Linked DNA regions of Elephas maximus indicus. The protein of the gene in region 1 binds, or shares a complex with, the protein of each later gene. Links are inferred from orthologs where the notes say so. Each region holds a gene or a part of one and is shown on either strand. Other genes may lie near its edges.

Evidence for each region.
Region 2: the proteins of ACTL7A (region 1) and TES are in contact, whole or in part, in a crystal structure (PDB 2XQN), measured with the Homo sapiens proteins. The link is inferred for Elephas maximus indicus from reciprocal best matches to the Homo sapiens genes ACTL7A and TES. Residues at the interface, in NP_006678.1 of Homo sapiens: Leu28, Gln29, Thr30, Ala31, Ser32, Leu33, Arg34, Asp35, Gly36, Pro37, Ala38, Lys39, Arg40, Ala41, Val42, Trp43, Val44, Arg45, His46; in NP_056456.1 of Homo sapiens: Asn311, Glu312, Tyr313, Thr314, Gln315, Ala316, Glu317, Leu323, Phe326, Leu335, Ala336, Gly337, Glu338, Ile339, Tyr340, Val341, Tyr353, Pro370, Glu371, Val372, Gln373, Arg374, Val375, Thr376, Tyr377, Ala384, Phe389, Leu398, Ile399, Gly400.

Annotation. Positions count from the first base shown.
Region 1 is NC_064827.1:58,308,505-58,323,939, forward strand, and holds ACTL7A (actin-like protein 7A), read left to right. Parts: upstream 1-8,652; coding exon 8,653-9,975; 3' UTR 9,976-10,031; downstream 10,032-15,435. Other genes in the region: ACTL7B (actin-like protein 7B), read right to left, coding at 1,443-2,690. UniProt on the Homo sapiens protein: Essential for normal spermatogenesis and male fertility. Required for normal sperm head morphology, acroplaxome formation, acrosome attachment, and acrosome granule stability.
Region 2 is NC_064826.1:33,540,671-33,557,745, reverse strand, and holds the start of TES (testin), read left to right. Parts: upstream 1-9,177; 5' UTR 9,178-9,361; coding exon 9,362-9,388; intron 9,389-12,304; exon of another isoform or gene 12,305-12,430; coding exon of another isoform or gene 12,431-12,433; intron 12,434-17,075. UniProt on the Homo sapiens protein: Scaffold protein that may play a role in cell adhesion, cell spreading and in the reorganization of the actin cytoskeleton. Plays a role in the regulation of cell proliferation. May act as a tumor suppressor. Inhibits tumor cell growth.

The DNA.
Region 1 (15,435 bases):
TTCTTATGTGGCGCCAAGCCCCTGCTAGCCCAAGGGGTTAACAAACTCCAGATTAGAAACCCAATTCTAGGCGATGGAAAACAACTTGATGGCAAGACATTAGGGAATAGAGACTCTGGTTCTTAAGTCCGTAGCCTCCAGTACAAGGCCCAGGACAGAGATAGCCTCATGGTGTGCCCCAAATCTAGACTCTTTGTCCAGGTAGTTGGCTCGGGTTCATTTGATAATCTAGCCAAGATTATGCAGTTCACCAACATCGGATCCCAGAGACAAATGGGCACCTGGGCATGGGTCCATCAGGAACATGGAGTGGAAAAAAAGGGGCAGAAACCAGTCTCTTCTAGGTAGACAGCTGTTCACCAGCTGAAAACCTCAATGGCCTCTCCCTCAACCCCATGCCTAGCACTGCTCCCCTTACATCTTTCCAATAAACCCCCCTTCTGCTTCCCACTCTCAGGAACCCTGAAAGCTTTGTCTACCAGTGTGGCTGTTCACTAAATCTCCCACTAGCTACATGTGACCTCAAGAGAAGGGACTGTTCTGGTAATTTATAGGTCTCCAGCACTGGACCTGGCCAATAGTAGATGCTTGTTAAGTGCTTAAGGTTGCTGCGTAACCATTAGAAACCATTTACCCTGGAAATAATCATGACCTGGGTCAGGAGAGTAGGGCTGAATCACTGATGTTGGGCTGATCCTCTTCGTCTCTGTTTCTCAGTTTCCCCATCTCCACGGGAAAAGGAGGACCACTGAAGGACCATCTGGTTCCTCTGACATCCTCTGGGATCAGTGATTCTGCCTTGTGACTCCTGAAAATAGCTGTAATTTTGACCAGGGTTGAAAGAGGGGATGGCTCTGATGGGTAGAAATGGTCCCTCACACTCAGGAGACACATTGTCACATCTGCAGACTGCCGTGGAGAAGGGGGCAGGCAATAAAGGGGGGCGAGTGAGGGAGGTTGGGGTGATCAAGCAATAACAAAGTTTTAGCAAGAACAGATAACGGAGACTGAAATCAGACACCTGGTTATGTGTCTCTGAGCCACCACTTAACTATGTGACCCAGGCTAGTCCCTTCATCTGAGAGTCTTCATATCTTCCTTTGTCTAGTGAGTGGACAAACAATATGGAATGGCTGTTGAATCTGGTTTTGAGCTCTGAGGAGCTAATGTAACAGTAAGCCATACTCTGGGCTCCAAGATAGGGTCACCCTCAAAGAGGATATAAAGGGGGAGGGATCAGTGTGACACTCTCTTTTACCCCAGCCCAGTGCTTGGTACTTGTAAGCCCAACTCCTCCCTCCCTATGCTATCAGACCAGAGCAAGAAATGCAGGCTAGACAAGAGACAATGCAAGTTAAAGTTTTATGTGAAACTTTGTAAATGTGTATACAGTGGCCTGTGGCTGCCTGCCCACGAGGGTTTCCTGGTCAGGGCACCACTGCTCAGCACTTATTGTAGATGGCGGCGCTGCCCCGCTCCTGGAACTCTTCCTTGCTGACCCAGAGCTGCTGGAAGGCCTGCAGGGAGGCCAGAATGGAGCCGCCGGTCCACACTGAGGTCTTCCTCTCAGGAGCCGCAGCCACAGCGAGGATGTCACCAGGGCAGAGGAGGCTCAGCTCCCTCTGGAAGCGCTCAGGGAAGCCATCTAGCATGGTGCAGCCCCCGCACAGCAGCACATTGGCGGCCATCTCCTCCTTGAAGCCTGCCTCCTGGCAGTGGCCCAGGCAAGCAGCGGTGAGCGCAGGGAGGCCTGGCTGGCCGCAGCCCATCAGGGAGGGCTTGAAGAGCATCTCCGAGCACCGGAAACGCTCCTGGCCGATGGTGATGAGCTTGCCGTCCGGGAGTTCATAGTCGACCCGGATCTCCTCCAGGGGCAGGCTAAGCTCCTGATCGGGCATGAGAGCCGCGTAGCAGCACTTCTTCTTGATGTGCTCGAGGACGTGCAGGTGGTCGTCCGTGAACTTGTGGCCCGCCTCGTTGAGCAGCTGCATCAGGTAGTTGGTGAGGTCGCTCCCGGCATAGTCGGCACGCATGGTCAGGCCCGGCAGCACTTCGCCCTCCGAGATGGGCACCACGTGTGAGACACCGTGCCCGCTCTCCACCACCAGCCCTGAGGTCTTGCCGTAGGAGTAGATGGACAGGAGCGACTGGGATGTCACGTGCATGGCGGGGATGCCGAAGGTCTCGAACAGGAGCTCCGCATACTTCTCCCGGTTGCTGCTGGGGCTGAGCGGAGGGTCGGAGACCAGCACAGCGTGCTCCTCGGGGAGGATCTTCATGGCCGTGTGGAAGATGTACTCCCAGATGTTCTGGACGCAGTCCCAGTCGACCACGATGCCGTGCTTTAGGGGGTTAACCAGCTTGAGAGGCACCTCCGTGTTGAGCAGCTCGTGGCCTACGTAGGTCTCCTTGCTGGAGTCGCCCGCGTGGGCTGCCTCGGGGCAGCGCTTGCCCACAGTGGAGGAGATGAAGTAGGTGGGCCTCGGCTCGCCCCCATAGCCACACTTACAGTACTGGGAGCCCAGGTCGATGATGAGCGCCTTGACCTTACGCACCTTCTTGGGCTTCACTTTAAGCTGGGCGGCTGAACCTGTGTCTCGGATGCCAGCATCATAGCCTGGCAATGCTCCTGCCTCTCCTGGGTCACCCTGAGCTGCGCCCATGGGGCTAGGACTGTTCCTTGTCGCCATCTGCCTTCCTTGCTCACCTTCTCACATCCACATCCCAGAGTTCCGGGGGAAGAAATGAGAAGGCTTACCTCCAGCAGTGCCTTGGCAACCACTCAGGATTGTGATGTCACTGGGGCTGGTCCACTCAGGCAGCTGGGGGAAGGGCTCCGTCTTGGCGGCCACTGATCTCTTCTCCCCACCCCCCACCCCACCCCCACCCCCACTCCAACTTGAGTTGCTACAGTGGCCGGCATAGTTTCAGAAATCCATACACCCTGTATTCTCAGAGGTTTCTCCTCCGTCTCCTTCCATCCCCACTCCTAACCCTTGTTCCAGGGTTTCTAACCTTTTCCTTCTGTTCAAACCCCCCTGCTGTGAATTTGCATTTCTAACAAGTTCCCTGCTAAGAATTTGCATTTCCACCCCAGACATACTGAATCAGAATCTACATTTTAACAAGATCCCCAGGTAATTCTTACTTATAACTTCCTGGGAACTTGTTAGAAATGCAAATTCTTAGCAAGGGTTTGAACTGGAGCAAACTGGTTCAAAGCCCTGCCTTGTTCACTGAACACCTTTTCCTCCTCTGCTTCTTGACAAAGGGGGATAAATATCTTTCAAGCTCCTATAGTAAGCCAGGCACTGTACCAGGTCCTTCACATATGTAATTTCACAGAATCCTGGGAGGTAGCCAGATCTGAGGAAATGGAGGCTCAAAACTCAAATGACTTGCCCGAGAGCAAACAGCTGAGCAGTATTTGTACTGGAATTTTAACCCAAATCTGTTCATCGCCTATGCATCAGGCCTCCTTAAAGTGCTTGAGTGCCTCAACAGTGATCTCATCACTTTATTCAACATTTACTAAACCAGAAGTGGGCGCAGTCCAGTCCTGCCAGCTGGAGATAGATTGTAGAGGCTCTGGCCACAATCAGTGTCCAGTCGAGGTGGGCAGAAGAGAGAATGAATGCAGATAAATTTGAAGGTCGAAGTCTATTTGGTGCATAAGAAGATAGTACTTATTTTGGGGGAGGCTGTCAGAAGATTCTCTAGAGAGGAGGTGATACACTCAAGGAGGACTGTCTTAGTTATCTAGTGCTGCTGTAACAGAAATACCACAAGTGGATGGTTTTAATAAAGAGAAGTTTATTCTCTCACAGTCAGGGAGGCTAGGAGTCCAAATTCAGGGTACCAGCTCTAGGGGAAGACTTTCTCTCTCTGTCGGCCCCAGGGGAAAATCCTTGTCAATAATCTTCCTTTGGTCTAGGAGCTTCTAACTACAGGGACCCCAGGTCCACAGGACATGCTCTGCTTCTGGAGCTATTTTCTTGGTGGTATGAGGTCCCCCTGTCTCTCTGCTTGCTTCCCTCTTTCATATCTCAAAAGAAATTGAGTCAAGATACAACCTAATCTTGTAGATGGAGTCCTGTGTCATTAACATAACTGCCTCTAATCCTGCCTCATTAATATCACAGAGGAAGGATTTACAACACATAGGAAAATCAAATCAGATGACAAAAAGTGGACGGACAACCACACAATATTGGGAATCATGGCCTAGCCAAGTCAACACACATTTTTGGGGGACACAATTCAATCCATAACAAGGAGTTAATACTGAAAGATATGTGGGTGTTTATTAAGTTTCTAAGAGCAGGGAAGGATATCCCAAGCAGAGAGCACAGCCTGAGCAAAAGTTCAAATGTGTGTGTGTGGCGGGGGGGGCATTTAGAAATGTACTGCAATGGATGAGGCTAGAGAGGTCACAGGAACCCATGGAGGAGGACTTCAAATGATAGAAGTAAAAGTTTGGATTAAATTGAGGACAGTTGAGGAACCAATGAAGACTTGAAGCATGGAAGTAGTCAGATTTGTTACCTGAAAATACTTTAGATTTGTCCTTGGCCGTAATGTAGAGAACGGATAAGAGGGCTAAGACTAGAAGCTGAGAGCCCTTGAAGAAATCCTTACAAGACTTGAAGGTGGCCTGAGGTAGGTAGTGTAGAAGAGAGGAAGGGACAGGTTCTAGAGAAGCTTAGAAGGCAGAATCTATTCTAACCAGTTAGTCCTCCAACTGTCCTCAGTATAATCTGAGCTTCCACTCCTAGCATTCGAGGCCTTCCCTCTTGGGCACCTGTGACCATTACACTTAAATTAGATGCGGGGAGTGAGGGAGAGGGAAGGATGAGTCCTTTACCTTTGTCCAAGCAAAGATGACCTGTCACCCAGACGGAATAAATTCACTAGGTTCCCATAGGAACCTCCATCCCAAACTGCTCCCCTCTGCAAAAAAAAAAAAAAAAAAAAAAAGATTAGGGCTTTGGTAGTGAAGAACTAAGAGAAAAATGGAAAGAGGAGCAGCTGGGGCAGAAGGAGTTTTGTGGGAGAATTGGGCAGAAGTAACTGACGGGTTAGGGGACATGAACAGGAAAGAAAAGAGAGGTGTAGTTAAGAAATATTGCTGTGGACCACGTAAGAAGGCTAATGAAGAATTTATTCTGGAATTTTTGTTTGCTGAATTGTTTCTTGGAACATGGTGCTATGAAACTGGATTATATGAATAACTTTATAAGGGTTACAATTATGAGCATCAACCTAGAAACTTCATTGGTGATATCACAAAATAATAAACCTTGAGGATTAGACACTTGAATGCCCTCTAGAACATTCCACCCAGTAATCTGGCATAGACAGCCCACTACATTTGGCCAGCTGTAATAAACTTCCTCATATTGGATTGACACCTGTTTTAGTCATCTAGTGCTGCTATAACAGAAATACCACAAGTAGATGGCCTTAACAAAGAGAAGTTTATTTATTTATTTATTTTAAAGTAGGCTAAAAGTTCTAATTCAGGGAGTCAGCTTCAGGAGAAGGTTTTCTTTCTCCGTTGGCCTTCTCATCAATCTTTCCCCAGACCAGGACCTTCTTCATGCAGGGACCTCGGGTCCAAAGGACGCACTCTGCTCCTGGCACTGCTTTCTTGGTGGTATGCGGTCTCCAACTCTCTGCTAGCTTCCCTCTCATCTCACATTTTTTGGGGGACATAAGTCAATCCACGACAATATCTGTACTTCTCTAAAGAAGCCACTAATTGGTTTTGTGTTTACTTCTGAGTCTGTGCAAGGCAAGCTAGTTCCGTGTGACAGCTCTTCTGCTATTTAAGGACTGGGCTCCTGTGAGCCTACTCCTCTTCCATTCCTTATGGAAAGACAGCACAGAATGGAAGGAAGAGCAAGGAACTTAACTCAGAAGGACTGAGTTCAAATCTGTAGCTTCATTATTCATTGTCTGTATGATCCTTAAACTACTCAAAACATTAGTTGAATCTGATTACGATGGTACTATGCCCCCTCACCAACTTGATCCCTATTCTTAGTCTCCAGGTTTCTAACTTGAGCAACTTGGTGGATGGTGGTGTCCCTCAAAGAAATAAGGACTGCAGGGAGAGGCGCAACTATATAGGGAAAGATAATGAGTTCCATTTAGGGTGTGCTGTCTTAGAGATGCCAATAGACCATGAGGCTGTCTAGAGATGGTCTAGAGATGAGGAAGAGAATGCAGCTAGACTCAGATTTGAGTCTACCCTCTGAAGAGAGTTCCTTTCCCTTCTACCTCAAGGAAAATGGGCACAGGCTTGGTACTTGGCTTATCATATTGGGACCTGAGTTTTGGGAAAGAACAAAGAGATTCAAAGTGCCTGTTCGGCAAGGAAACCTCTCTCCACTGGGAGTTCCTGATTTTCGAACTTTGATACATTGAAGAGCCGAATTCCTAGGCTTAAATATTCCTAGACTCTAAATACTCTGATGAGATAAGGCTGGGATCTAGAAATCTGAATTTTTAAGAAAAACTCCAGGTAACTCATGAGAAGAAATGCTATGCATTGGCCTTTTCCTCACTAGATTTTCTTTCTTCCCTCCCATGGCTGCTAAAATTACAGTGGCCTAGTTCACCTTTCCTCCAAAGGTCAAGAAGAGTATCCTAAAAACCAAGGTCAGGAGCAAGGATACCACCTCAGGGAGAAACATGTTTCTTAGTCCTGTCTTTCCAGGTTTTCTTTCTCTACTACAGAGGAAGGCCCAGGATTACTTTCAAGAAAGGGCCATTTTGCAGCTCTTTTGGTGCTGGGCCAGAAGAGCAAAAGTATGTGTGATCTCAGAAGAAAATGGGGCCCAAGTAGTCTGAGTAATATAGACTGTCTCTACCTAAGGGTCCTCCCCAGAGACCCCACAGAGTCCACAAACACCTTAGATGGCTAGTGACAAGGTGGTGGAGGGGGTACGTGCCAGGCAGTGGCAGTTTTGGGTGTAGTGTGCCAACAATCTCTGTATTCTTCTATCATTGACACTACTAACTACATGTCGACCCAGGGAGGGGGAAGAGACATGAAAGAGGACATGAAAGCTAAGGGAAAGAGAGCTTCAATTAGGAGTGAGCATTCAAGCACATGAATCTCTGAGAGGTCAAGTAAGAGGACTGAAAAGTATCCACTGGCATTACCCAAGAAGATGTGCGGGTGCGGCCTGAGCATCCCTGTACTCATAGGCCTTACCTACTAGATGGAGGGGTTGGCCTTAAACTGGCCCACCTCTTCCTCCCACAATGATGGAAGGGTAGGGAGGGTGAGCATGGGCAATCGGGGAGGAGGAGCACATGCAACAGAGCATGGCTTTGAGTGCTTTAGTGAAGTTGGTACACAGGTGATGTAAGAGGGTGTGAGGCATGTGGAATAATGGGCCCCCAAAATGTCCACATCCTAAATCCCTGGAACCTCTGAATATGTTACCTTACATGGCAAAAGTATCTTGAGATGGGGAGATTATCCTGGATTATCCAAGTGGACACAATGTAATCACAAGGGTCCTTATAAAAGGGAGGCAAGAAGGTAAAAGCAGGTTAGAATGACACAAGGAAGAGGGCATGAGCCAAGGGATGCAGGCAGCCTCTATAAGCTGAAAAAGGCAGGAAACGAACTTTCCCTGAAGGCTTCAGAAGGAATATAGCCTGATAACATCTTGCATTTAGGCTTCCGGACTATAGAACTCAAATCTACCATTTTAGTGTGAAAGCAGCCTTAAACAACAGGCAAACAAATGAGCGTGGCTGTGTTCCAATAGAACTTTATGTACATAAACAGGCCGCAGGCTAAATTCCGCCTGTGGGCTGCAGTTTGCTGGCCCCTGCTCTAATGTGTCTGCACAAGCTGCTCCCCCTGATACACACGGGGCTCTGTCCCTTAACCTCCTTCAGGTCTTTACTCAGGGAGCCCTGCTCAGGCCACACTAACATTGTCACCCTTCCTAGCATCCTTCCCTACTTTTTCTCTTTAGCTCTTAGCACCCAGAGGTGTAGCGAGGACAGAGGTCCGAAAAGGGGCACTTGCCCCTAGGCACAAGTCCAGGAGGGTACCAAATGACATTCCCAGGTGTCACAAATATGAAATGTGCCTGAGGCAGCCAGACAAGAGGGGGGAAGGCATTTCTGCTGTCACTGCTATCAATGTCTATTCTTCTTAAAGTTGGAGGGGGAGGGTTACAATTTAGAGATTAGCCCTGGGCATTTGCTGCCCTTGCTAGGCCCCTGTTAACACCTTCTAACATACATTTATTTTGGTTGTCTGTTTCCCCTGATGCCCAACCCTCACTGACTAGAGTGTAAGCTCTACGTGGGCACAGAGTTGTTTTTTTGTCACTGCTGTATTCCTAGCTGCCTTAGATGTAACAGGTACTCAATAAATATTACTCAATTGAATGAATGAGGTTTATTGCAAAATTTAGAAAAAGAAAGGTGAAGGCAGTTCGCAAACACCACCCCAAATCTATCCTAATACAGGACAAAGTTTCCCGGGATCTAGAAAGCCCTGGGTCACTGGATTATGTCATAATCAGTGATGTCATCTTTGGGAAGATTCTGAAGTTACCCTCTGATTTAGGCCTTTCAGGCCTTGAAGCTGGTGGGATTGAGGAGCTTTCTGAGAGCAGGATGGCTCTTGACAGTGTGTGGGCTCCACAGGTGGCTATGATTGGGGATGGGCCTGCCAAGAAAGTGAATGAACAGATGTCCATACAGACACAGGCCCTCCAGACTGCCTCCTTAAAGGACGGCCCGGCCAAGCGGGCAGTGTGGGTTCGCTGCAATAGTTCAAAGCCAGAAGACCCTACTAAATCCACAGTGGCCAAGGAGAGGCCTAAGCTACAGGCAACTAAGGCAGTGGTAGTGGACCTGGGCACTGGGTACTGCAAATGTGGCTTTGCTGGCCTGCCAAAGCCCACTCACAAGATCTCATCAACAGTGGGCAAGCCCTACATGGAGACAGCCAAAACCGGGGATAATCGCAAAGAGACGTTTGTGGGGCATGAGCTCCTCAATCCTGAGGTCCGTCTCAAGCTAATTAATCCTCTGCGACATGGCATCATTGTGGACTGGGATTCAGTGCAGGATATCTGGGAATATCTCTTCCGACAAGAGATGAAGATCAGCCCAGAGGAGCATGCGGTCTTGGTTTCAGATCCCCCCCTGAGCCCTCACACCAACCGAGAGAAGTATGCCGAGATGCTGTTTGAAACCTTCAACACACCCGCCATGCACATAGCCTACCAGTCCCGCCTGTCCATGTACTCATACGGAAGGACCTCTGGCTTGGTGGTGGAGGTTGGCCATGGTGTATCCTACGTGGTCCCCATCTACGAGGGTTATCCTCTGCCTAGCATCACCGGGAGGCTGGACTATGCAGGCTCTGACCTGACAACTTACCTGATGAACCTAATGAACAATTCGGGGAAGCATTTCACAGAGGACCAGATGGGCATTGTGGAGGACATCAAAAAGAAATGCTGCTTTGCGGCCCTGGACCCTATCGAAGAGAAGAAAGTACCATCTACTGAGCACATGATCCAGTATACTCTGCCAGACGGGCAGGAAATACAGCTGTGCCAAGAAAGGTTCCTCTGCTCAGAGATGTTCTTCAGGCCATCTCTAATCAAGTCCATGCAGCTGGGGCTACATACCCAGACTGTGTCCTGCCTCAACAAATGCGACGTTGCCCTCAAACGGGACCTCATGGGGAACATCCTGCTCTGCGGGGGCAGCACGATGCTCAGTGGTTTCCCTAACCGCCTGCAGAAGGAGCTGAGCAGCATGTGTCCCAATGACTCGCCCCAGGTTAACGTATTGCCAGAAAGAGACACTGCAGTGTGGACTGGTGGCTCCATCCTTGCCTCGCTCCAGGGCTTTCAGCCACTGTGGGTCCACCGCTTTGAGTACGAGGAACACGGGCCTTTCTTCCTCTACAGAAGATGCTTCTGAACTCTGGAGTGAAGCATGGTGGTCGTGGTTGAAAAGCACCAGCTTTGCTGGGTGAACACCCATCCTGCACACAGGGAACTGAGCCAGCATGTCCACTCCTGTGGTATTAAATGACCCTCATGATAGCATGTCCATTCCTGTGGTATTAAACAGCCCTCATGTTCCCCTCCACAGTGTGTTTATTTCCTAACTTACTAAAAGCAACTTCACAGATGCAGCACCTGCCTTAAAATATACATTTGCCAGAACAAAATGGGGAGAGGGGAGAGATGAAAAAGACATGCATTATCTGATGATTTCTTAAACACTCCCTCTTTCTTAGGAGAAATTAGCTCTAAAATTAATCTATCCCTTGTTTTCTGTATTCCCCACTTTGGGAATTTTTTTATTGTTAAAATTGGCTTGGAAGGGGGAGTGCAATGAAGATAGATTATGGAGTAAATGCTGCTGGAGCATATAAGAAGATCCCTTTCAATAAATACCAAGGGCTTGGAAACAGCCTACAAAAATGTCTGACCCCTGCTTTAACTGTACTTTTACCTCCAACAGTCATTTGTGTCTCAATACCAGCTCTTATTAAGCCATCATGGTGACTGGCTTCCAAAGCCGAGAATATTATGAGTGGAATATATGTATGTGTCTTAGGAGTGTTACATATATTTTCTCTTTTTAAAAAATTGGGGTTAGATTCATCTTGGGTTATCAGCACTGTGGTCATGAGGATAGTAGCCACACTCATTCTCCAGATATCTGAGAAGTAGCTGCCCATTTCCCACCAGATTTGATTTTCCATCAGCCTGTAAGGGACACAGTTGGGGTTTGGAGTGGGTTCACGATGGAGGCTGCTGGTTCTGGGGCTGATGACATGGGTTTGTGGGAGGCTGCCCCATGCCAGTTATTTTAACTCAGAGGAGCCTGAAGAAACATACAGATCGTCCGTGGCCCATCAGGTTCTATGGTATTCCGGCAGAGGGAGTTTGTAACTGGAGCACAGATTTTTGAAGACAGGCCTCAGGGCATATTCCCTGCCCTCTCTCCAAAGTTCAGAACCTGAACAACACTGGCAGGCAGCATAAAATAGTAGAAAGAACATGGGCTCTTGACCTCTGTGATTTGAGAAACTGTATTTTGTTACCATCTGTTTGCTCACCTACAGAATTGAATACTAAATGCCTACCTCACACAGCTGACGCAAAAAAACAGAGATAAACACCTGAATGCATCCCTGGCCTCCACAAGGTGCTCACAAGAGTTAATTAATATTATTTTGTAGACATCTACCAGTTATACACCATAAGCCCAGTCTACATATTCACATGTTCAGCACTCCTAGGAGAGCTGGCACCTCTGCCATCTCCAGGGAGATGCACTAGAGAGCTATCCTCACACCTCTAGGTCTGTCCAGACAACCTTCAAAGACCTAGTTGCCTGACCCTGGACCCAGGCCTGATGAGTAAGCTTATTTGGCTAGCACCAGTACACTGGTGTAGGGAAGCAAAAATGGTTACAGAAGGGTACCTGGACTTCTGTGGTTCAGCAAAGATGACTAAGCCTTACCCTGAGTATCATGGAACCAGCCAGAAGTTGGGTACACTGACTCGAGAGGTATGTCTTATTCAGCTCAGTTTCTGCCCAAACTCCTCTACTGTCAACACTCTATGAAATTCCCTGACTGGCAAGTTTTTTTGGTTAATTCTTAACCTGTGGACCCCTTCTCAGAGTAATGCTTCTAAATGCAGAAAATAAAATACATAAGAATAAAGAGGAAACCAATCATATTAAAATGCAGCTCTATCTTCTGGGTTCTGTGGAATCCAGGCTAAGAGCCCCCCAAAAGATGACTGTCTTGATGAAGAGGAGAGGTGGGGGGTGGTTCTGGAGGATGGGAGTCTCTACGTCATCCTAGGCCTAAATGTTATGCTGTATTTTAAATGAAAAATAGCAATATAAGGCTGAATAGTTGCATAGTTTTTTTTCAAAGCACTTTTATGAATTCTCTCACTTGATCCTCACAATCACTCTAGTAAAAAGAATCTCCCTGACAAAAAGAAATGAAAAGTTTTAGTAATATTTGGAAGTCATCTTAGCCCAGTGGTTCTTAACTGGGGGCACTTTTCCCCTTCCTGTGACATTTGATAATGTCTGGAGATATTTTTGGTTATCGTAACTGTGGGGGGTGAGGTGGGAGGTGTGCCACTGGCATCTAGTGGGTAGAAGTCAGGGATGTTACTAAATATTCCCACAATGCACCAGAGAGTCTCTCACTGCAAAGAATCATATGACCCAAAATGTCAATAGTGCTGAGGCTAAGAAACTCTTAGTCCAAAGAGCAGACAAGGCTGGAGGAAAGCAAGGCTCAGTGAGATTAAATGACTTCATCCTAGGATGTTAACAAGAAAGAGTGGATCCATGGGCCAAAACCTGTTTGTTTCTTTACCAGGGGAGCATCCCTTGTTCTCAACGTTCCTGGGACTTCAGAGCCAGTAGGAGTAATGTGGAGTGGCTACTGTGGGCAGGAGGCACAAGCAAGGGCTTAGGGGGCAGGCAGCAGGCTCAGCTCCAGGGACACAGGATCAAGAGCAGGCCGTCAGTCTTTCCAAACGTCACCTTGACTTGTCTCCAGCCTCTTGGACATTTATAGTCATCCAGCCCCTAAGATTTTCATCCCCACCTCAGTTACTAATACGACAGACAAGGTAGGACAACCAAAGGCTCCCAAGGACTTGTCCTAGGTGATGCTTCTACAGAAGCACAAAGGTTCATGGGCTGGCACAAGAGGAAGAATTAATTTTGCTTCCTAAACTTGCAGTCATCTTATTTATATTACTAAGAATAGTCAATTTTATTTATTTCTTGAAATACCCCTTCAGTTACAGTTAGACAAATCTCTCAAATTCATGCAGGTATATATGAAAATATATACATAAACATAACATTTTTAATAAAAAAATAATGCATTTTAAAATACATAGCAGGGCTGAAAAATTACAATCAGCTATACTATTAAAGACATAATAAAAACATTAGCTCCTGCCTTAGTTTAAAGAAAAATAATGTTAAAATCCATTTTGATTCACGGAGACAATCCTCTGTTAAGTTCTAGCTTGATGTTTGGAGCATCTGAGCAAGCCATTTGGCTCAATGGAACCAAGGAAAGAACTGAGGATTTTTTGCTCCCTGCAGCATGAAACTGCTTTGGGACAGAAATCAAATTTTTGGGAAGAGTTATATAATCTTTTCTAGCACTTGACAAACTCTTTCCCCAAAATTAAGCATTCAACACTCACATGAGTTTCTCCTCTTCCCATACACAACATTTGACTTCTCCATCAATTCCTCCTTGGCTTTGCCTTCAATTTGGCGGGTCTGCTCCTGCCTGATTCTTCTCAAAATCAACAAAACCCAATCTTGTCCAGAAGAGAAGAGATAGTAATTGACAGTAATTCAAATTTACAAATTTTTTCTTGCTGCATATCTATCTATACATTATCTTAAGGGGATTGGACATGCATGAAATTTCACTCATACCAACTGACACATTTATTCCTATTTCCAATACATCAACATGGGACCCTTGTACTATGATCCAAATTTGTTTTAGTATAAACCAGTTGCAATTTTAAAGTGAAAGCACTACAGCATATTTAAAATGTTATGTAAGTTACCATGTTCATTGACCCATGCCAAAGAGTAGTTGCAAAGTATTTTCTGCCTTTCAATGTTTGGTACTTAATTAAAGCAAATTCATTAGGTATGTGTCAACAAATATTCCCTCGAAGCAGGACAATACCTTCTTTTCTGTGTTTTTCTCAATATTTTATTGTGAAAATTTTCAGACATACAGAAAAGTTGAAAGAATTATACAGTGAATACCCCTAGATTCTATAGTGAACATTTAGCTATATTGAGTAACAAAAAACCAAACCAAACTTGTTGCCGTTGAGTTGATTTCAGCTGATCGTGACACTACAGGGCACAGCAGAACTGCCCCATAGGGTTTCCAAGGAGCGGCTGATGGATTTGAACTGCCATCCTTTTGGTAAGCAGCGAAACACTTAACCACTGTGTCACCAGGGCCCCGTATTGGGTAAAGTCTTCTTAAATTACAATTCAGGCATAGAGGCAGTCACCAGGTTATGTCTGACTTACAGACAGTACCTGCCCTTGCCCTTTACTATTACATAAATTTGCCCTCACTTTGAAATGATTGAACCAACCCCTAAAAAAAATTCTTCATCACAATCACCTTCACTTGCTGAATGTGCAGATTTTAAATCATTGAAAAGGCTTCGAGCCTTTTCTTGTACTGAAAAGAAAAAAAAATGTTGCCATCAAGTCGATTCCGACTCATAGTGATCCTATAGGACAGGGTAAAACTGCCCTAAAATAAGGCTAAATAAGAAATGTATGTACCTGTCCCTAAAAAAAAACAAAACTTTTTTTTGGTCCCTACTTACCTACAAATTCAATTAAAAAACACACTTAGGAACAGCTCTCATTTGTAACTCAGGGACTGCCTATATCTATACTCTGAGGATCAAAAGCAGCATTTCCTATTATTCTAGATACAGTAATGGAGGTCTGACTCTGGTATTAAAATCATGGAAGAAATTTTTAACCTTATCCAAGGATCAGTCACAAAACTGTTGTCAAAATTAACTGGGCTTTTTCTAAACTCACCAAAAAGAAAATAGAAAGTTCTTTTGAGAAACTGAACAAAACAGCTAAGCACCATAAACAAATGAAATGGCTTAGACATTGACAAAAACATTTCAGTTATAGGAGGCCCTATTTGGAGAACAAAGAATAATTTACAACTGTGCAGGCCATACATGTACACTGCTCATCCATACCTGTGATGGTTAAGGCTGTATGTCAACTTGGCTGGGCCCCGATTCTCAGTAGTTTGGCAGTTATGGAATGATGTAATCACCTCCATGATGAGGTCTGATATAATGTAATCACTTCCATGATGAGATCTGCTATAAGCAGCCATCAGTTGAAAGGGAGTTTCCTTGGAAGTATAGCCTGCATCCAATACATATGAACTTTCTGGCAAAGCTCACTGGCTTTTGCTCTGTTCTGGGTCCTGCATTTGTCTCGTCATCATCTGAACTCTGGTTCTTAGGACTTGAGCCAGCAGCCTGTCATCTTATCAATCTGAGATTCATTAGCCTCTGCAGCCCATAAGCCAGCAGCCTGCTGTCTGACCTGCTGATCTTGGGCTTGTTAGCCCCTGCAGCTATGTGAGTCAGTAGAAACCTCCAGCCTGACACATGACTCATGGACTTGGGGCTTTCCTGCCTCTACAACTGCTATATATACATACATATATATATACACACATATACATATATATATATATTTATACACACACACACGCACACTTCACTGGTTTTGCTTTTTTAGAGAACCCAGTCTAAGACATTTGGTACCAAGAGTGGTTCTAGAGAAACAAAA
Region 2 (17,075 bases), on another chromosome or scaffold:
CCAGGCTGTTTTGACTACCGTAGCTGTATAGTATGTTCTGAGGTCAGGTAGTGCGAGTCCTCCTACTTTATTCTTCTTCTTCAACAGTGCTTTACTTATTCGGGGCTTCTTCCCTTTCCATATAAAGTTAATGATTAGTTTTTCCAACTCTTTAAACAATGTTGTTGGTATTTGGATTGAGGTTGCATTGTATTTGCAAATCGCTTTGGGTAGAACTGTCGTTTTCACAATGTTGAGTCTACCTATCCATGAGCATGGTACTTTCTGCCATTTATATAGATCTCTTTTGGTTTCTTGCAGTAGTATTTTGTAGTTTTCTTTGTATAGGTCTTTTACATCCCTGGTAGATTTATTCCTAAGTATTTTATTTTTTGTTTAGGGGCTATTACAAATGGTATTGTTTTCCTGATTTCCTTTTCATCATTCTCTTTATTGGTGTATAGGAATCCAACTGATTTTTGTATGTTTATCTTGTATCTTAGCATATTAATTTTTGTTTGAATTACATAAATAATTTTTCCCTTGGGTTTTTCATTTCTTTTAACTTTACTTACAGTAGTTTCGCCACAAAGAAGTTTTTTTGATATAATCTGTTTTATCAGTTTTAAATTAACTTTTGGACTTTGAATCAGAGTTAGAAAGAACTTTCCTCATGTATTTTTATAAAGGAATTTATTTATGTTTTCTTCCTGTACTTAAATTATTTTATTTAAATCTATCATCTGTTTAGAGTTTATATTGGCATATGCATAAGAATCCAACTGTATCTTTTTCTAAATGGAGCTACCTTGTTGCCCCAACTCAGAATTGTGTATGTAAGATTCGTGTTATGATTCACTTCAAATGTTAAGTTCCATGTGTAAATATACATAACTTGTCTACTTCACTGATAATAAGCATTTTGTTTGTTTCCAATGTTTTGCTAATATGAATACAGCTATATAAGCATGCTTATACTGGTCTCATTTTTAAAGTCTACAACACTTACTGTCTATCACTTATACCTTGCTTTATAACTGAATTGCTATTTAATGATTTCCTACTATTTACCCACTCTTTTCCCACTAGGGCTTGAAAGAAAGCAGCTCATCTTTCATCTGGGCTATATGCCATATTGACTAGAAGCCCAATGAACTCTGAGTAAGAACTGAATCGAATTGAGTGGAATTAAATTGAATTGAATTAGTAGCCTGCTGGGGGCAGTGAAATGTCACATGCAATTAACAAGAGCAGAAGCAGCAGGATAACACTAATAGTCTGCATATTTGGACCATATGGGTAGATATTTATTTTTAAGGTTACAGAGGAATTAAGTCTTAATGAGAAGCATATAAATCAATTAATTCATTTGCCTTTTAATAGTCTTAGAATTTCTCATGTGCACATGAACACTGTTCTAGCTTCTGTGGCCTATCAAAAGCAGATGAAATATAATGGAAAATTTATTGCACAATTTACTTTTCACAAATCCAAACAGAACATGTTGGCCTTATTTGGCATATTCCTCACTTCATTATTTTGGCTGATCTATTTGTTTAAATGATAGGTATCTAGGGGTTACTACATCCTCTTATGGTAGAAGTAAATGTTATGCCTTTCAGAATGCATTCCAGGCTAGGTTTTTATCCAGGGATTAAAAGCCTGAGTTTCCAGGGAGGAAAATCTACATCTCTTTCAGAGCTGTAATTGACTTTCCTTGTTATCCAGCTCTCACAGCAAGTGCTACACTAAAATAAATAGTCACCAATAGGCTGGTGCCATCCCTTTTTAGGACTGAATTAATTCATGAAAAGTAAATTAGGAGCTTTTGTTCACACTGAGGCTTACCAGAGGCTCATATTTATATTACACTTAAGAGACAATCTTCAAAGTACAACAATTCTATTGACGTAACACATTGAGCTCTCAAGAAATGGAAAACCCAAGGAAAAGCAGTTTAAAAAATGAGATCTTGTGTAAATTTTTAAAGGAAGTTATTAAATGACAATTTAATAGAATAATGTTTTACAATTAAGAAAATATTGCTATTTTACTAAAAAGTAGTAATGCCCCGTTAAGACAAGGGGTTGTGTTGTACTTAAAGGTGGTATTAAAATGTTTGTGAGCATTGAAGCTTGTGGGAACTGTATGACATTTGTGTCTCATACACAAGCCAGCTTCTTTTTTTTTTTTGGCTATACTAAAACACTATATTGCCTACCTACTGGAAAAAAACATAATTGTATTTTTTTTTAAGAAAATAAATTGCTACAATACTTAAATGATATAAGAACTGATGACAGTTGCTTAAATTTGCATGATGCTTATGGTCCTCTAACTACTCACAGAACTTTTCCACAATGATTTTAATTACTGAGTAAAACTAAAAGAGCCCTCTTTGTTTATTCCTAAAAGGTATCATTCTACCCAGGAAGCATGCTGCCATCAAGTATAATTCCACAAATACCACACAGCACTCATGGTATTCATCCACAAAGAAGTATTTGCTTAAACAATGGTGTGAAATTCTCCATCCCAAGACACAGAAGGATTCCTAGCCTATTAATCCAACAAATTCCAGTGCTATAAAGTCTCATACTTTTATTTTACACTCCTGTGTTTTACATCATGTTTTCCTTATTTGCCTGTGAAATTAGTTGCATATATGCTTAGCATCGTATTACCATTTAACATTCACTTGTGGGAGAAATTGACAATATTTTTCCCTTCTGTTTTTACGTCATTTCTAAACTTATCCAGCCATTCCATAGGAATTATTCAGTGTTTTTTTTTTTTTTTAATATGTTCAAGTTAAAATAAAATCTTATTACATTTTGGGGTAATAGTATAAAGTTTTCTTAATCAGATCAAAAAAAGTTTTGTTCCTAGAGTACAAAAATGAATATTTTGTGTCAATATTTGCCCTAAGATAATAAGCAACAGTGGATAGTAACATCTTTGTAACTGATTTTTATGTGGTACTGGTTTCAGTGAATTTTACAGAGAGGCAGGGTGCAGAAAATCTTGTCCAGCTTCAGAGAGCTCCCTTTTCCCTTGTTTTACAAAAAGTTAAAGAAATACTTGCTTTTGGGATTGCCTGACTCGGAAGCCCACCCCCTGCCCCCAGTCTATTGAGTCCTTGAAAAGTGGCTAGAGAGACTGAGAAACAGAATTTAACATTTTATTTTCAATTAATTAATGTTGTTAATTAAAATTTAAATTTGAATAGCCAAATCTGGTAAGTTGCTACCATTTTGGATAGTACTTCTCTGAACTTTTACTTTCCATTGTCTCTCTTGCTCTTAGCCTAGACAGTTTTGATTTTCCTCAAAGCAGTTTCTAGTTGCGGGTAGAAAGGAGCCATGGAGGGTCAGTATTGAGCTATCACGGGGCCTAAATTGCTTCAGGATGAGCCCTGGTGGCACAGCAGTTATATGCTCTGCTGCTAAGTGAAAGATGGGCAGTTGGAACCCACCCAGAGGCAACTCGAGAGAAAAGACCTGGTGATCTCTCCCGTAAAGATTACAGCCTAGAAAATCATTTGGGGCTGTTCTACTCTGTCTTGTAGGGTGGCTATAAGGCAGAATTGACTAGACAGCATACAACAACAACAACAGATTGCTTCAGCCCCTTCAATCTTTACTTTTGTAGTTACTGTTATAAAATTGGCCTGCAGTGATTTACATTAATACCTGGAGAATATCTACATCTCTCTGTCCATCAAACACTGCCCTGGACCTTCCTTATCACCTCCACCATACTCATACCTGGAAACAGATACACGCCTCCAGTATGAGTGGTATCCCTATAAAACAGGAGAAGAGACACAGAGAACACCATGTGGTAACGGAGGTAGAGATTGCAGCTGCAAGCCAAGTAATGCCAAGAATCGCAGGCTGTCACCAGAGGTTAGTAGAGAAGTGTGGAACAGATTCTCCCTCAAATTTATGTAGGTGTTTATATGCATAGGTGTATATATGTGTGTACCTATGAATATATAATTGTCTATATCTCCAGCCCAGATATTTATTTTTACTACTAGACTCAGATCCAATTGGCCTTGTAAAAATCAATATATATGAAACTAAGTTCATAATCTTTTTGAAACTTCCTTCTTCTCTTGTGTTTCCTACCTTAAGGAATGAACTGCATCCACTCTACCAGTCCCCCAAAACTGATTCCTAAGAGTCATTCTAGATTCTTTATCCTCTCTCCTGTAAGCCAGTCAATCAAGGCCAGTATTTTCCACCTCCTTGATATCATTGGTGACTCTTTCTAGCTAATTCATTCTCCAGCCCTATTCCTCTCAATAAAAGAAACACCTTCCAGGTTTTGCCCAAGTAGATTTTCTAAAACGTAATTTTTTTGAAATGTTAATTCTCCAGTGTTCATAGCAAAATGTTCATCTCTTTTTCTTATGCCCTGTCTTAGTCATCTAGTACTGCTCTAACAGAAGTTCAACTGGATGGCTTTAACAAAGAGAAATTTATTTTCTCACAATCTAGTAGGCTAGAAGTCCAAATTCAGGGCATCAGCTCCAGGGGAAGGCTTTCTCTGTTGGCTTTGGAGGAAGATCCTTGTCATCGATCTTCTCCTGGTCAAGAAGCTTCTCAGGCGCAACAACCCCAGGTCCAAAGGATGTGCTCTGCTCCCAGCACTGCTTTCTTGGTGGTATGAGGTCCCCCACGGCCTAACCAAGTTAACACATATTTCTGTGGGACACAATTCAATCCACGACATGCCCTAAGCCTCTCCCACATTCATTTCCTCATAACCTCCCAGACAGGGTAATAGGTGTCTTTTGGTACATTTGGAAGGCTCTCACCAGCCACCACTGGCCCCTTTCTATGAGATCTACTCTACCTAGAAGTCTGAGCTTCAGCCTACATGTTGTCCTACATGGCTCTGAATTGGCACAAGCCTCAGCTGATTGGATTAGAGGTCCAAGCTTATTCAAGCTGGACTAATAAGAATATTTCCTTTGGAGGGGTTGAACCCCCAAACTGGACCTTTTTCTTGAGGTAAGGTAATGTCAACCCACGAACTGAGACTGCTTTTGTGGAATGTGGGGTGTTCAGAAAATAGTCTACAGAATGAAAGAATGAAAGCTGATACAGGCAGAGCAGCAAGATGAGAGAAGACATGGTCCCAGAGAAGGAATACCTTTCTTGGTTCCAGATGTTACCCATTTCCTGGTTCTACTCCCAGATGCATTCTGACCCTTGGGTTTTGCAAGACACCTCAACATCCTTATACAAATGCCACGTTATTGATTAAACTAGCTCAAAAGGGGTTCTATTGCTTACAATCAAAAGAGTTTTAACTAAGACACCTATTCATCTTGCAAGACTCAGGCAAGGGTTATTCCTCTCTAAAGACTTTCCAAACCCTAAAACTACCCTCTCCTTGATCCTCATTTGTGCTTCGCTTTACCTGCAACACTTCACAATTCCTACATGCTTGCCACTCCCATAAAATTTATAAACTACTTAAGAACAGAGGAAAGGTCTTCAGCACTCATTACAGTTCCAGGTACATAATAAAGGTTTAACCTATTTCCCTAATCAAAGACTAAAACTTGATAGCCTAGAGACTGGATTTTTGCTGAACAGCTATTCTATTTAGCCTATGAGGATTGTGTGTACGTGCGTGCACATGTGTGTATAAAACCTAGTATTGTATTTCCTTTTCTAAGGAAAAGAACATCAAGACTGTTACCTAGCATTATCCAGAATATCAATTTCCTCTCTACTTTATTTGATTGAAATATCGGAGTTGGGCATTTATTTGGCTAATGTTTCCATGAGTTTGGAGAGGAGCCAAGCCAAATGTTTATCAAACTGTTCCGCTAGGCACAAAAGGAGATTCAATTATAAGGTAATATCTGTCCCCACAACTTCATCAAGATGGACTTCCCAAGGTTACCAATGATCTTGTTGTTAAATCCAATGGGCATTTAACCTTTATCTACAGTTTGACGTTGTTGACTAATTCCTTCTTTAATGTCCTTTCTTGGTTTTGAGACTCCACTCTTAATTTTTTTTTTCCTGATCCTTCTACTAGCCCTCATGTCTTTTCTGTGCTTCTTTTGCTCAGCACTGCTTAATTGTTGTCTTTGATACTCTTCTCTTTTATTTTGCCATCTCCCAGGCTGATCCTATTTCCATCATGGCTTTCAGTTACTTATCTATGTAGGGTGTTGACTCTTAAATCACCATCTCAGGTCTCATCTCTGAGGTTTATATTTGGATACTTCACATAAATATCCCATAGACATGTCAAACACAATACATTCCAAACCGTACTCATTATCTCCACCATCCCCGAAAAAGCACAACTAAGCAAACTATTTCCTTCATTCTATATTTTCTCTCTTCCTGAACTATTTACACAGACGCTTGCTTAAGCCAGAAACCTATGTCAACCTCTATTCTTTCCTGTCATCAGCTACATGTAGTCATCAAACCATGCTCTACCCTCTAAATATCTCACTAGCTTAACATGTGAATAACGAAATAAGGACTCACAATCTTATCCTCTTAACAAAACACTTATCTACCTTAATTTTGCTTTCTATGTATTTGGCACAGTAATGATTCCAGATAGAAATCACTGAGTTTCAACTTCCATCCTTTGCTAATGATACCTATACAAAGTGATGCTAGAATGGAAAGATAAAGGAGAAGGGAAAAACTGGATGGTAAAAAATGTTTCTAGATTTTTTTCTTAGTGCCATCTCTGCTGCTCCACCAAATAAGGGCCCAAAATTTATGTTACATTTATTTGATGCCTTATTTAAACTGTCTTACTGGACATTTTCCATCTGTTTAGCTCCTAGAAAGAGACCAAATATTTTTGTCATGGCAAGACCTTATGTGCATGTGATCTTACACTGGGCAAACTATGCAGGGGCCCAGTACTTTTAGGATGATTGGGAAAATGAAATAGGAAAGTTTTCCACTCAGTGAATTAAAAAGATCATGATCCATTTTGGCCATCCCATTTTTAGTTTATTAATAGAATAAGTAAAAATGCACATAGTAAATCAATGTCCTGTTGAGCAATGTTAACAAATAGCAAAGGATTGAAATTGGTGGCTAAAATTTTGGATGTTCTTAGTTACCAAATTTCCAGAGGCAAAGTGGAGAGACATCTGGACTGAAATATCTGCATTGTTTGGGATTTTATTTTTGTATTTATTTACTTATTTATATTTTATTTTTTTAAAAGAGATGCACCAAATTAAAAGACCACCTACTGGCTGGTATTTATCATTTTTTTGTCATTACCAGAAAGTGAAAAAAATACTCTTGTTCTCTTTTTCTTAGTCAAAATGCTGTTTCCAGTCCATGCATGCTGTAAACATTATAAAGACTCATGAACACTGTCTTACCACCTGTGATCATTCAGGTTGTGTGTCAACTTGATGGGACCATGATGCTCAGTGGTTTGGCAGTTATGATATAGTTTGGCAGCCCTATAATCACCTCCATGATGAGATCTGCTGTGAGTAGCCAATCAGTCAAAAGGGTGTTTCCTTGGGAGTGTGGCCTGCATCCAATATAGGTCGACTTTCTAGCAAGGCTTAAGGGTTTTTTCTCTTTCTGGATCCTGCATCCTGCAGCTTACTCCTGTTCATCTGACCTTTGGCTCTTGGGACTTGAGTTAGCAGCTTACCTGCTGGTCATGGGATTTGTCAGCCTCCAGTCTGTGAGCTAGCAGTCTACAGTCTGACCTGCCAATCTTGGGTTCACCAGTTCCTATAGCTATGTGAGTCAGGAGAAGCCTCCAGCCTGACCAATGGATTTGAGACTTTCCAGCCTCTATAACTGCATGAACCATTTTCTTCCTTGATATAAATCTCTCTCTCTCTCTCGTGTGTGTGTGTGTATGTGTGTGAGTGTGTGTGTTTGTGTGTAGCTTCACTGGTTTGCTTCTCTAGAGAACTCAGCCTAAGACATCTCCCAATGACCTTAGGTCCCTCTCAGGCCCTCCATTCCCTGCAAAATGAGGGAGGTTAGACTCACTAATCTCTAGGGTCCCTTCCAGATCCAACAATCTGATGGCATGTGTTGTAATGGCTCCAGAATAAAGGAATGGCTTCAGCTCTGGGCTGCAAGGCTGCTGTGATACCTGTGAAACTCTGCTTCATCAAGGCATGAGACACATGAGAAACTTCAGACCATTTCATGGAGTAGGGACAAAGGGCAAACCTGTACTTGCAAAGGAATGGCTCATAATGTCTCTGCAGTGACTCACATTATCCCTACTTTTTGAACAATTGAATGCTCATAAAACCATATACCTATCTTTATTTATGATAAAACTGTTGAAATAACATTCTCTGCCAGTGTTTTGGGGCTATGGAGAAAAGCATTTGAGGAAATGCCATCTCCACAACCCAGCAGTGAAATCGTTGTTGACTGCCCTTCAGCTGATTTTGACTCATAAAGACCCCATGTGACAGAGTAGATTTGCCCCATAGGGTTTTCTTGGCTATAATCTTTACCAGAGCAGATCATCAGGTCTTTCTCCCAGAATGGGTTGGGTGAATTCGACCTGCCAAACTTTTTGGTCAGCTGCCAACCGCCTAACCATTGGACCACAGGGCTCTTAGGAGCGATATTGTTGTTAGGTGCCCTCCAGTGGGAGCGACGGTAGGCACAACAGAACAAAACGCTGCCCAGTCCGGTGCCATCCTCACAATGGATGCTATGTTTGAGCCCACTGTTTCTTCCACTCTGTCAATCCATCTCATTGAGGGTCTTCTTCTTTTCCTTGACTCTCTAGCTTGCCTAGTAGTTAAATTAGGGCCAAAGAATATGCTCACGCTCTTGTCTTTCTCATTGCTCTGAAAATCAACCAGGAAGCTAGTCCCGGAGTAAATGCTCCCCGGACAGAAATCAAAGGTGCCCGGCAAACATAAGTACAAGCTGGCAGGATGGAAAGGGCTCTCGTCCACCTTCAGCTGAAAGACAGTCTGACCCCAAATCTTCCTGAGTGAGCGGGCGGAGGCCCAGAGTATTCGCGGAGACGAGGTCGGGGCAACCGGGCCAGCTCCACAGACCCCGCCCCCAAGAGGCCCCCGCCCCCAGGAGGCCCCGCCCCTCACCTTGCGGGCGCAGCGGCCCAGCCGAAGGTGCGTGCGGCGCTCCGTGATTGGCCGCGGCCCGCGATGCCCGGCTGCGATTGGCTGCCTCGGCCTCTTTGTTCCCGGGGCCGGGTCGCAGGCCGGCTGCTGCGGGCAGAGCGGCGGAAGTTTGACGGCGCCGGCGAGCGGCTGCTGCAGGGGCTCGGGAGTCCCCGCAGGTTTCCCCAGTGCCCGCGCCGGGCCTCTACGTCAGGTCCGCACGGTCGGAGCGAAGCCCGTTGAAGCGCAGCTATGGACCTGGAAGCCCGAGTGAAGAAGGTAGGGGAGCTCCGGCTGCGGGCAAGGCTGCCTCACCTGAAGGCGGCGCCGCCCCCTAGATGCCGGGGGCGGTCGGGCGTGCGGGCGGCGCGAGCCGGGTCTCCGGGTCCCAGGTGCCCACCCTCCGGGGGACACAAGGTGCCAGCGGGCTCTCCCCGCCTCCGAAACTGGGGCGGTGGCGAGTCGGGAGCGCGACCGAGCGCGGGACATTTCCCTGCCGTCTGACCACTGCCCGGGGGCTTGAAGTGCTGGAAAAGTTTCCTTAAGGTGTTTCCACTGCTCTGTGCCTCCCTAAAGGGGAAGGGTGAGGTCAGGGTGAGGCCGGGCGGGACCGTGACACCGCTTCTTCCTGTCTCAGGAAATTCAACTTTAAACCTTTGTGGTTTAGGGGCCTGAATCCGGCTTTGACAGCTCAGACCTCCTCCACTGCCGGCCGCTTGGCCCCCCGAGACTGTCTACAAGGAGTGCTGATTCCATACACTTCCTTCGCACCCGTGGCTGGCTGATAACTTGAGGGTTTTTTTTTTTTTTTTCATTTATTACTTGACTGCCAAGGCACTGCCTCCTTCTTAGGGAGTTATCTCTCAGAGAAAACGCTCTCCCTGCCTGACAGCTTCCCCAAACAGCCTCTGGATCACCAGTGCCTTAGCGCTTGGAGGAGTTTCCAGCCTGCTCTGGGGCGTCAGGACCGACGGCTCTGCCTGAGCCGCTCCGTGACTATGGGGAGCCTCAGGTCCTCAGGGGGAAGTGGGTGGGCACCGCACTGTGACTCACAAGGAATGCTGATGTCACATTCCAGGGCAACGTTCCCTATGAAAGGTCTCATTCTAGGGAATTGCGCATATTTACTTTGCAGTAAATTTAAAAGGAGAGTCTCTGAGTGGCGCAAAAGGTTAGGCGCTAGTCGAAAGGTTGGCTTTTGGAACCCACTAGAGGCGCCTCAGAAGACAGTCCTAAGGCTCTGCTTCTGAAAGATCGCAGCCTTGGAAACTCTGTGGAGCAGTTCTCTGCATCCTTGGGATGGCCAGGAGTTTGAATCCACTCTATGGCTACTAAAAATAACAAGTTTAAGCTAGCTGCCCCTAATCAAATAGGAAAGGAAGTTTTCCAGAAAAAATGAGGAGGATAATACAGAAAACTTAGTTTTCTTTCTAGTTGCCAACTTAAGGTTGTCGATATTGTTGTTATTCCATCTTCTAAAGATGCAGTTCCTGACTTGAGCATTAATGCACTTTCATGATCCATACTGGACTATTGAAAATGAACGCAGATTAGGTTAAAAAAAAAAAAGAAGCAATAAATATTTGCAATGGGAAAACAGCTCATTCCTAGGTTCACTGTGAGTCTCAGTAGACTCGACGGCAGTGGTTTTGGGGTTATGACTAAAACCGGTACTCAAAAGGGAATCCAAGGACTGGAAAACAAAGTAAATTCTTCACGTAGTGTGATTAACTGCAGTCCTTTATCTTTCTGATTGGTTTCTTATTCTTTTATTTGCTTTGAAGTAACCCTGATATTTTTTGTTCATCATGCTTGGCACTAAGGAAAGCATTTTGCTAGCCTTCTGTTGATGAACACCACTCTCATTTTGTTTTTCAAGTGGGTAAGAATAGTAGTTGTCAAGAGTTCTGGGGGTCTTGACTGTGCATATAAGTATTGATTTGAAACTGCTTCTTAAAAGTCGACCTCCAAAAATGATTTTGAAAGTATTTGAGACAAGAACAAGTAATCCTGCGGGGAAAAACCCAAAGGTAAGAATTACATGTGCTTGCAAGAGAAAAAGCCAAACATTATCTGTAAACAGTTTCCTTAAACTTTCAAAATGTGGGTTATGATGAATAAATATAATGCCCTTGACACTTGATGTAATTTTTCTTCTCCATCACCTTTTATTTTAAAAGATTTTTTCAATGAAGAATGTTATCCTTCTCTCTAATCCTCCCCAACCCTGGAGAAAAGGGTTCCATAAACTTAAAGCTTTTACAGATAATCCCTTGACAGGACAAACCCTTGTTTTGTCACCTCTAGTGATTCTTAGGGCAGAGTCCTCAACAAGTAAATTGGAAAGTACTAAAAGATCCCAAAGAGCTCCAATTTGACTGCCAGTCATACCCTCTTTTTGCCTTTGGAGAGTCCTCGACAGACTTTATGATCTGTGGATTGGAGAATAAGTTTCCCTGTGCAAAAGAGTTTGGAGATCCTGCCCCCAGAAATACATTTCACGATTTTAGCCATAATCTCAGAAAGAAACATGTATCTGCTTTAGAAATTGTTTTCCAACATACCTGAAGAAGGAAACATCACAAAATTATCCCTGATCTACCAGCAGAGCCCTCTTACCCTATTTAGAAACCTAGTTTTCAAGCCTCTGGGTTTTTTTTTTTTTTTTTAAACTCACGTACACAAGAAAAAGAATAGTTTCAATGTACCTTGAGAAAAGCCAGCTTGGAGATTGGAACAAAGACACACCACTTGAATAAAGCTAAACATGACTTCTGTTCTGAGATACATGAAATTTTTTTTCTTCTAAAATTCTTACATTGTTGATTTCATAAGGAATTTTCCCTAGGCAGATGAGAAATGTTACTTTATTTCCACTAACATTTTGTATAAAAAGAATTAAAGAGGTTTGTTTTTATTACACAGCGACCTAGGTGGATGATACTATTATAGGATTCTTGGGTTATAAAAGAAGAACTTGATATCTACTTTGTACCACTTTGGATTAATTACCAGTAAACCCACTATCCCAAAGACAAGGGATTTTTATAATTTAGATTTTGCTCTATTTTTGTTTTGTTTGAAGTAAGCAAGCTGTTGCAAGGAGGTGGGAGATAGTTTGGTTATACAGAGTTTTTGTTTTAACAATATTTTAGAACAGAGTTTGACTTTCACATCCTTGGTCTGTCTTCTGAGGTACTCATCTAGACCCCTTATGCCTTAAGTCTCTTCACTGTAATTGACTTTGTCTAAGTGGAGCCCATGTATGCTTGGAAAAAACAATGGCCTTTGAGAAGCAGAAACAGTCACACTTTGTGGTGAATGGTAAGTCATGGCCCACAGCCAGCTGCTTTGCTCTTTCCTTTCTGTGTTATTCTCTCAGGAGAACCACTTTTTTTTTCCCCCGCTCTCTTTCTCCTTAAACGCATACCAGAGAGAAAGAACTCCAGTAATTTCTCTTGTACTGCCGGAATTGCTGCAGGGCTTTTAATTTCGTACCTGATTCATTTCTTGCCTCCATTCTAACCTCTGTTTTTTGAACCATTCAAATATCTTGGCATGTTTTTCTTAGGACTCTTTTTTTTTTTTTCCTTTTTTAAAAAATGACAAGCATTTTAAAGATTACAGGTCACTAAAAATCCCCTTTCTCTACATCCAAAGCTTGTTTTAAAAGCTTCTTTCATTAGCCAAAAAGCCATAGTAAAACCAAATGATTGCATTTGGAAAGAAGACTGAACCACAATTATTTCTTTGAGAAATTATTTCCATGAGAAATTAGAGTGAGCATCTTTTCTTAGATGGTCCCTGATTGAAGCTGAAAGGGCAAGTAGAGGGAGACCTGCATGCGCAAATCTACAGGTGGATTCTCTGCTTCAAGTCATTTTTGCTGTGGGAATCATTGTCAAGGCCAGGGGAAAGAGAGAACAAGGTATGTTCAGGGCTTTGTCTTAGCTGCCTGCCTCTCAGAACAAATAGAAAAAAGTGAAGTGGTCCGCAGCTGGACTTTTATCTCTCGTAACCCATTACATTGACTGGATATGAAACGTCACTTCCTCTTAACTAGCCCTGAGTGTTGATTTGACTAGAACTCTAGTAGGTTTTTGTGAGTTTCAGTTTTTTTTTGTTGTTGTTTGTTCCTTTATGTTATCCTAAGAAATGGAATTATTTTTATTGTTAGATGCCATCAAGTCAGTTCCAACTCATAGCGAACCCATGTACCAGAGGATGAAACACTGCCTGGTCCCGCGTCATCCTCATAATCATTGTTATGCCTGAGCCCATTATGAACGCTACTGTGTCAGTCTATCTCATCGAGGTCTTCTTTTTCACTCACCCTCTACTTTACCGAGCATGATGTCTTTCTCTGGGGACTGCTCCCTCCTGATAACATGTCGAAGGTATATGAGACATAGTCTCACCACCCTTGCCTCTAAGGAGCACTTTGGCTCTACTTCTTCCACGACAGATTTGTTCTTTCTTTTGGCAGTCCATGGTATAGTCAGTATTCTTCACCAACACCATAACTCAAAGGCGTCAATTCTTCTTTGGTCTTCCTTATTCATTATCCAGCTTTCGCATGCATACGAGGCAATTGAAAAAACCATGGCTTGGGTCAGGCGCACCTTAGTCCTTAAAGTCGCATTTTAGCTTTTTTGACACTTTAAACAGGTCTTTTGCAGCAGATTTGCCCAATGCAATGTGTCATTTGAGTTCTTGACTGCTGCTTCAATGGGCTTTGATTGTAGATCCAAGTAAAATGAAACCCTTGGCAACTGCAGTCTTTTGTTCATTTACCATGATGTTACTTACTGGTCCAGTTGTGAAGATTTTTGTTTTCTTTATGTTGAAGTGTAATCCATACTGAAAGCTGTAGTCTTTGATCTTCATCAGTAAGTGCTTCAAGTCCTCTTCACTTTCAGCAGGCAGAATTGTGTCATCTGCATAATGCAGGTTGTTAATGAGTCTTCCGCCAATCCTAATGCCATGTTCTTCTTCATATAGTCCAGCTTTTGGATTATTTGCTCAGCTTACAGATTGAGTAAGTATGTTGAAAGGATACAATACCAGTGCATTTCGGCTCACTAATGGCTAAGATATCAATGTTTATGCGTTCTATTTCTTTTTTGACAATTTCCAGTTTTCCTAGATTCATACTTCATGCATTCCATGTTCCTATTATTAATGGATGTTTTCAGCTATTCTCATTTTGAATTGTGCCACATCAACAAATGAAGGTCCCAAAAGCTTGACTCCATTTAATTCATTAAGGTTGACTCTACTTTCAGGAGGCGGCTCTTCCTCAATCGTATTTTGAGTGGCTTCCAACCTGAGGGGCTCATCTTCTGGCACTATACCAGACAGTGTTCCACTGCTACTCATAATGTTTTCACTGGCTAATTTTTTCCAGAAGTAGATCGCCAGGTCCTTCTTCCTAGTCTGTCTTAGTCTGGAAGCTCCACTGAAACCTGTCCATCATGAGTGGTCCTGCTGATATTTGAATACCAGTGGCATAGCTTCCAGGATCACAGCAACATGCAAGCCACTACAGTACAACACTCTGACAGACACATGGGGAGAAGTAGAACTAGGGATATATGTTTCTACTATATTAGTACTGTTGCCTCACCCCATTCCTTTCCTTTGTTGGTACTCATACTCCACTCTATCTACAATCCTAAATCTTACCCATCCTTCAAGGACCCCGTAATCTCCTCTGGAAAATTTTTCTCTGTGTTCCCAGCTAGATGCAAGATCTCTTTCTCCTGAATTCCTGATGCATGTTATCTATAATTCTTATGACACAGATCACACCCCCCTGTGGATTATAGTTCCCTTTGTGTATATTTCACATCCTTACCTAGACTGCAGGCTTCTTGAGAGACAAATTCGTATCTGATTATACTTGCATAGTTTGCAGTTCAAAAAGTATTATATGTTATTTCTTTTGCTGTTCAAATCCATCTCATGAAGTAGACCTTAGCCCCATTTTTAGGATGAAGAAACTAAGGCTCAGATTGATTACAGGCATACGTCAGAGATATTACGAGTTCCAGACCGCCACAATAAAGTGAATATCACAATAAAGTGAGTCACAGGAATTTTTTTATTTCCCAGTGCATATAAATGTTGTTTACACTATACTATAGCCTATTAAGTGCAATAATATTATGTCTAAAAAAAAGCAACGTACATACCTTAATTAAAAAATACTAACCATCATCGGAGCCTTCAGCGAATCGTAATCTTTTTGCTGGTGGAGGGTCTTGCCTCGATATTGATGACTGCTAACTGATCAGGGTAGTGGTTGCTGAAGGTTGGGGTGGCAGTGGCAATTTCTTAAAATAAGACAGCAGTGAAGTTTGTCGCATTGATTGACACTTCCTTTCACGAAAGAGTTCTCTGTAGCATGCAATGCTGTTTGATAGCATTTTACCTATAGTAGAACTTTCAAAATGGAAATCAGTCCTCTCAAATCCTACCGCTGCTTTATCAAATGAGTTTATGTAATATTCTAAATCCTTTGTTGTCATTTCAGCAATATTCACAGCATCTTTACCAGGAGTAGATTCCATCTCAAGAAACCACTTTCTTTGTTCATCCATAAGACGCAACTCCTTATCCATTAACATTTTATCATGAGATTGCAGCAATTCAGTTACATTTTCAGCTCTACTTCTAATTCTAATTCTTTTGCTATTTCTACCGTATCTGTAGTTCCTCTACTAAAGTCTTGAACCCCCCAAAGTCATCCATGAGGGCTAGAATCAACTTTTTCCAAACTCCTGTTAATGTTGATATTTTGACCTCCTCCCGTGAATCAAGAATGTTCTTAATGGCATCTAGGATGGTGAATCCTTTCCAGGAGGTTTTCAATTTACTTTGCCCAGATCCATCAGAGGAATCACTATCTATGGCAGCTATAGCCTTAAAAAATGTATTTCTTAATTAATAAGACTTGAAGGTCAAAGTTACACTTTAATCCATGGGCTACAGAATGGATGTTATGTTAACAGGCATGAAAACGTTAGTGTCCTAGTACATCTCCCTCAGAGCTCTTGGGTGACCAGATGCATTGTCAGTGAGCAGTAATATTTTGAAAGGAGTCTCTTTTTTTTGAGCAGTAGGTGTAAACACTGGGCTTGAAGTATTCAGTAAACCATGTTGTAAACAGACGTGCCGTCATCCAGCTTTGTTGTTCCATTTATAGAGCACAGGCAGAGTAGATGTAGCATAATTCTTAAGAGCCCTAGGGTTTTTGGAATGGTAAATGAGCACTGGCTTCGACTTAAAGTCCCCAGCTGCATGAGCCCCTGGCAAGAGAGTCAGCCTGTCCTTTGGAGCTCTGAAGTCAGGCGTTGACTTCTCTCCAGCTATGAAAGCCCTAGATGGCGTCTTCTTCCAACATAAGGCTGTTTTGTCTACACTGACAATCTGTTGTTCAGGGCCGCCCCCTTCCTCAGTTATGTCAGCTGCATCTTCTGGGTAACTCGCTGCAGCTTCTACATCGGCACTGGCTGCTTCACCTTGCACTTTTATGTTCTGGAGATGGCCTCTTTCCTTAAACCTCATGAACCAACCTCTTTTCCTCTGCACTTCCCTGACCTCTCTCAGGCTTCAGAGAATTGAAGAGAGGTAGGACCTTTCCCTGGATTAGGCAGTGGGTTTTGTGGTTTTGGTATGTATATATATGAACCTGTTGCTGTCGAGTTGATTCTGACTCATAGTGACCCTGTAGGGCAGAGTAGAACTGTCCCATAGGGTTTCCACGGCTGTGATCTTTATGGAAGCAGAATACCACATCTTTCTTCCACGGAGTGGCTAGTGAGTTTGAACTGCCGACCTTTCAGTTAGCCCCTAAAATGTCAGACCAGACAGCTAAGAATAGTGCAGCTGAAAATAATAAACTCAATTCTGGGAGGGAAAAATTTTTTTTTTTCTTTTTAATTTCTCATTCTTCATGTAAAAA